Canis lupus familiaris: one gene and its partner. The protein of the gene in region 1 purifies or fractionates together with the protein of each later gene. This does not show direct contact. Links are inferred from orthologs where the notes say so. Each region holds a gene or a part of one and is shown in the gene's direction. Other genes may lie near its edges.

Region 1 (2,240 bases):
CCCACCTGTGGAGCATGAAGTAAAGAAAGGTAGGTGAAGCATGTGGCTCCTTGTATTCCCATAGCACTTTATTTGGATCTCTCTCTCTCTCTCTCTTTTTAATTTTATTTATTTATTCATGAAAGACAGAGAGGCAGAGACACAGGCAGAGGGAGAAGCAGGCTCCATGCAGGGAGCCCAATGTGGAACTCGATCCCGGGTCTCCACGATCAGGTCCTGGGCTGAAGGCAGATGCTCAACCGCTGAGCCACCCGGGCATCCTTGGACCTCTCTTTAAAGGGTTTCATGTTTCCTGCTTTTTATTATAGTATCTTGTGTATGTTTTACCTCCCTCTCCTAGTTATTAAGCTTCTTGAAAGCTAGGTTAAAATCTGTGAGGCTCCGTAATGAGGAGCTTTGCCTAGACGGTACCTTGCACGCTGTAGCTGCTGAACACAGTTAAATGGAAGACTAGATGGAAGAGTGACTGCATGCTAGGGAATAAGAGGCATGGCACAGGGAAGAGAGCCAGTATTGCTCCCTGCTGAAAACTGTTTCTTGTGTTCTCTTTTTGATAGTGACTTTAGGAGATACCTTAACTCGACGTTCCATTAGCCAGCAAAAGTCTGGAGTTTCCATTACAATTGATGACCCAGTCCGAACTGCTCAGGTGCCCTCCCCGCCCCGGGGCAAGATCAGTAACATCGTCCACATCTCCAATTTGGTGAGCCAAAGTCGCTTCCCACAGCACAGTGTTTAGTGTTTGAGAGTTTGAGCTTTGGATTCCTGTTACTTAACTTCAACTCCTAGATCTGCCAGTTAAGTTATTTACTTACTGAGTGACTGGCTTAATCTCTCACAACGGGTCTCCTCATCTGAAAAATGGGGACAGAGTATCATTGTGCAGGGTCATCTAGAGAATTTGCAGAGGGCCTGGTGCATAGTGTCAGTTAGTGTTACTATTCTTCACTCTTCTCTCATTCCCATGTGAGAGTTCCTGGCCCCTGTGCACCCAGACTTTGAGGCTATACTCCTGTACCATATACTTGGGGAAATCTGAAGACTAATTACAGGGGTATTGTTCTTGCCTTTTTCAAGACTCTGAAACTCCATTTTCCTTGGCAGGTGCGTCCCTTCACTTTAGGCCAACTGAAGGAATTGTTGGGCCGGACAGGAACTCTGGTGGAAGAGGCCTTCTGGATTGACAAGATCAAATCTCACTGCTTTGTAACGGTGAGGGGAGGAAGTTGATTCTCTGGGTCGTGGCATATATTTCCTTCTGTAACAATGTGGGCAGGTTTGAGGGCCTTGTGGCAAGTGGGAGGGATTGAGGCCTGTTGTGACCCTCTGCCTTCTCTCTTCCTCCACCAGTACTCAACAGTAGAGGAAGCAGTTGCCACCCGCACAGCTCTACATGGGGTCAAATGGCCTCAGTCCAATCCCAAATTCCTTTGTGCTGACTATGCTGAGCAAGATGAGGTGAGAAACCTAGGGAAAGGAAGGAGGGGAGGGGCAGGGGAGGCCATTATCTGCTAGAATCCAGCTGAGATCCTGGCCAAACCTGCAGTCACTGAGATTCCTTCTCCCTCTTCTCCCTACCCCCTTGGTTCCTTTAGTTGAACCATGGGACTCCAAAATCTATATGCCCTGGTACCTGGGCTCCTTCAGTGGGAGTGTTCTCCTGTCCATCCTGACTGTCCTTGTCCCTCCTCTACCCACAGCTGGATTATCACCGGGGCCTCTTGGTGGACCGTCCCTCTGAAACTAAGACAGAGGAGCAGGGGGTACCACGGCCCCTGCACCCCCCGCCCCCACCCCCAGCCCAGCCACCACAGCACCCCCGGGCAGAGCAGCGGGAGCAGGAGCGGGCGGTGCGGGAACAGTGGGCAGAGCGGGAACGGGAAATGGAGCGGCGGGAGCGAACTCGATCAGAGCGTGAATGGGATCGGGACAAAGTTCGAGAAGGGCCCCGCTCCCGATCACGGTCCCGTGACCGCCGCCGCAAGGAACGTGCGAAGTCTAAAGAAAAGAAGAGTGAGAAGAAAGGTACTTAGCTGTGGGGACACACATACCTGCTAGTAGGTGGGAAAGGGACCCAAATGGGATGGGATACAGGGTCTTCGGGCGTAAAGACTGACTCCTTTGCTTCCACCTCAGAAAAAGCTCAGGAGGAACCACCTGCCAAACTGCTGGACGACCTTTTCCGTAAGACCAAGGCAGCTCCCTGCATCTACTGGCTCCCACTGACTGACAGCCAGGTG
Region 2 (3,956 bases), on another chromosome or scaffold:
GATCCAGGGTCTCCAGGATCACAACCTGGGCTGAAGGCGGCGCTAAACTACTGGGCCACCGCGGCTGCCCAATACATTTTATTTTTTTAAATTACACTTCAGTGTTTGGGGTACAAGTAAATACATGGCATAGTAATTTTTAAAAGATTTTTTATTATTTATTTATTCATGAAAGACAGAGAGAGAAGCAGAGACACAGGCAGAGGGAGAAGCAGGCTCCATGCAGGGATCCCGACTTGGACTTGATCCCGGGTCTCCAGGATCACGCCCCGGGCTGAAGGCGGCGCTAAACGGCTGAGCCACCCGGGCTGCCCGGCTCTATGGTTTTCATGCAATCTCTGACTAGTAAGGAGCTTGAGCATCTCATGGTTATTAGCCATGTGGGTTTCTTCATTTTAAAAGCACTTTTCGGTTATTTTACCCATCTTCCATTGGGTTGTCTGTTCTTTAATAAAAGCTATGGGACACTAGCTTTTGTCAATCACCTGCATCATGGAAATTTTTTACCACTCTGTGGTTTTTCTTTCTTGATGATGTATTTTAAGGTCAGGCCTCGTGGCTTTACTTTTTTTTCGATTTAAATCTCGTCAGGTTCACCGATCTCTGGCTCCACGCCTTTTGTATCACGTATCCCAACGCACTGATCCTGAAGCGCGTTCACGCTACGCCACAAAGTTCTCGTCCTGCTGTTCACACGCGGGTCCCTGGCCCACCGCGTGCGGAGGCGCCCGTCACCCTCCCGCGGTACAGACGGCTGACGATTTCGCGAGCACACACTGCAGCACCGTCTTCCCCTCCATTTCGCAGCCTCTTCCGTCTTCCCTCTGGCGTCCGGTTCCCATCCAGGTCTTCCTTTATTCCAGAGTTTGATGCTCCGCTGACTCACTGATCCCCTGTACCACTCTCGAGTCCTTCGTTTGCGAACATTCACTACGCGGGAACAATGCCCCGCCGGCTTGTTTGTCCCGCGAACAACTGGCGGTCACTTCCTCAGCCTCCGAACACCCACAGCGACACGATCCCTCAGAAACCCCGCCCCGCGGACGCCAACGCCCGCCTTTTTCCTGAGGACGCAACACGCAGGCGTGGCCGGGCCCGGGCTCACGCGCCGCACAACGAACTGCGCCTGCGCCAGCAAACGCCCCGCCCCTCCTCCCCGGTCCTCTATAAAGCCTCGAGCTTCTCCTCGCGAGAGACTCCGTTCTCATGCTCGCTGCGGGGGTCGGAGGTCAGAGCGAGCGTCTCGCGGGCCGTAGGAGGAAGATGGCGGTGGAGTCGCGCGTTACCCAGGAGGAAATTAAGAAGGAGCCGGAGAAACCGATCGATCGGGAGAAAGTATGGGATCCGGAGAGAGGTGGAGGTGGGCCCGGCGGGGCGGAGAGCGCGGCCTGCGTGCAGGAAGCGGCAGTGTTTGCTCCCCGGGCTGTAAGAGGCCGCGACGCCTCCGGAGGGAAAGGGAGCCCCGGACCCGAGCCGCTTTCTTTAACTTCTGCCCTCCTTTTCCTCCTCTGCTCCCAGACGTGCCCGCTGCTGCTGCGTGTTTTCACCACCAATAACGGCCGCCACCACCGAATGGACGAGTTTTCCCGCGGAAACGTGCCGTCCAGCGAGCTCCAGATCTACACTTGGTGAGAGCGCGGGGTCCGCGGGGGCGGGACCCGGGGGGTGGTCGGGCATTAACACAGTAATTCCCTCCGTGGCTCCGCTTCCTCCCCTTCCGGGTCCTTGGGCCCGGCTCTCAGAAAGTTGGAAGTTTTAGTTGTTAGGTAAAAGGGGATTCTCCCATCTTGTAATACAATTAAGCTTCATGTTCAAACTTTTGGGTTGTGAAGAACTGACGCACCCAGGATTGCTATCACTGTTGTGGCTGCTTGGTATAAAAATACACGTAGATAAATAAAATGCAGTAGCTGCCCTGAAGGGGCCCGTAGTCAACTAAATGGTACTAGAATTACATAGTAAAGTAAATCCTCAAGAGCATTTCTGTGAAATATTAAGCCTTCAATGCTATAGTATTAAAAAAGGAAATCAGCAAAAACCCAACTGATTTCTGATCTGGTGCTTAATGGAAAAGCTTTTAATGTGTGTTTCGTGAAGACCTGCCCCTGAATGTTTATGTGTACCTTCTCTACCCCTAAGTCTTTCTTAGGGCCATTACATGTTGTAAGCATATTTTTAGAGCTGCATATGTTTCCTTAGTTTGACATCATAATGGCTGTGTAGTAGCAGTAAAAAGTTAAGTGTTAAATATATATCTTTATTATATAACGTTAAATTTGCTATTATAATTCTTAAATGTATGATTCAGTTGCATCAGTTATATTCGCATTGTGCAACTATTACCTATTACCAAAACTTTTTCCCCCTCCTTGGCAGAAGTTACCCAGTAAGCAGTAATTTTCCATTCCTTTCTTCCCCGATAGACTCTAATCTAGTTTATATCTATATGAATTTGCCCAGTCTAGGTATTTCACACAAGTGTTGTGTTTGGCTTATTTCAGTGTGACATTTACAAGGTTCATCCATGTTGTAGCACATTCTTTTTTATGTGCACACAACTTCATTTTTTTTTTATGGCTTAATATTTTAATGTATGGATATACCACGTTTTGTCTGTCCACTTTTCTGTTGATAGGTACTTGAGTTTCCATTTTTTTGGCTTTTGTGAATAATGTTGCTATGAACCTGGGTATGCACATATCGTTTGAATCCTTTTGGGTATATTCCCAGAAATAGGATTGCTGGATCATAACATTATTACATGTTTAACTTTTTAAGGAATAAGGAAATAACAAGCTGGTTTTCACAGCAGCTGCACCATTTTACAGCCCCAGAGAGTGTGTAATTTTAAACTGTGAGTCCAGCACTCACTCCTTTAAAGACTGGGACCGTAATTGTCTTTGTGTTGGTATTGGTTAAAGTTATGTAATATGATTTTAGTTCAGCATCATTCCAGGATAAAAGCTCCAGGAAGGTTGATTTAACTTACAAGAAAGAACTGTTACTAATGTATTGATGAAAACTCTGTTCGGGATTGAAGTGTATACTTCTCCAGGCATCAGAGTTCTATTTGCTAGGTGCTGTGCTTAGATTTTGAGGGTATGAAGTAAAGAAGGTACTGCCCCTCCACGCAGTCAGCTCAGCCTACTGGAGAAAGCAGATGAATAAATGCTAATTAGGTAAGACTTAAGGGTGAAGATAGCAGAGTGAGATTGTTCCAAAGATCCTTTACTCCTAATCCAGAAAAAAAATTACGTAAAAATTCTGCCCAAAACTGTCCTATCCCTAAACTGCAACCAAATAAGGAAAAGCAACTTATGTTATACCTTAAAATGATGGTCAAAGACAAAAATTCTGAAAGACTTGTGGTTGGTGTGACAGCACAGAGTCCTGCCCCCTTTTCCAGAAACAGTACTGAAGGAAGATTAGTTAACAAATCTTGGGAATTCTCAATTTGTAGAAGTAGACTGTAGGACTGAATAGGCAGCCCTAAGATAAGTCTAAGAAAAAGGAGTGAAGTCCAGAGGAGCCTAGCAGAAGTCAGTTGAGTTTGCCAAAGTTCAAGGCACTGTGTGGAGTTGGAGGAACAAGCCAGACACCACAGGAGTGGTAAATCTCCCTTGCTCGGGTGGTCATTAAACAGGTTATTGAAAGGGAAGTAATTAGGTAGCTATATCAGGGTTTAGCTAGAAAAATGGAACCAGTCGGAGATCTGTATGAAGAGATTGATTGCAGAGAATTGGCTCACATAATTATGAGGGCTGCCTAGATAACTAAGTCCCTAATCTATGGGGTGAGCTATAAGGAAGGGCCAGGCTAGAACAAACTCTCAAACAAGAGCTAAGACTGCTCACAGCAGCCTGAATTTTTTTTAGAGAAGCTGCACTCTGCTCTTAAGGTCTTTTCAACTACTTGAATCAGGCCTATTCAGATTTTCTGGGATCATTTAAATTTAA

What was found. Proteins that work in one complex are often made in the same cells at the same time.
Region 2: the proteins of ACIN1 (region 1) and SAP18 fractionate together in Homo sapiens (co-fractionation; 7 studies listed by BioGRID and IntAct, with this or other methods). This does not show direct contact. The link is inferred for Canis lupus familiaris from reciprocal best matches to the Homo sapiens genes ACIN1 and SAP18.

Annotation. Positions count from the first base shown.
Region 1 is NC_049229.1:3,494,724-3,496,963, reverse strand, and holds part of ACIN1 (apoptotic chromatin condensation inducer in the nucleus), read left to right. Parts: coding exon 1-29; intron 30-557; coding exon 558-703; intron 704-1,104; coding exon 1,105-1,212; intron 1,213-1,350; coding exon 1,351-1,458; intron 1,459-1,700; coding exon 1,701-2,025; intron 2,026-2,136; coding exon 2,137-2,237; intron 2,238-2,240.
Region 2 is NC_049246.1:17,090,080-17,094,035, reverse strand, and holds the start of SAP18 (histone deacetylase complex subunit SAP18), read left to right. Parts: upstream 1-1,156; 5' UTR 1,157-1,206; coding exon 1,207-1,335; intron 1,336-1,518; coding exon 1,519-1,628; intron 1,629-3,956. UniProt on the Homo sapiens protein: Component of the SIN3-repressing complex. Enhances the ability of SIN3-HDAC1-mediated transcriptional repression. When tethered to the promoter, it can direct the formation of a repressive complex to core histone proteins.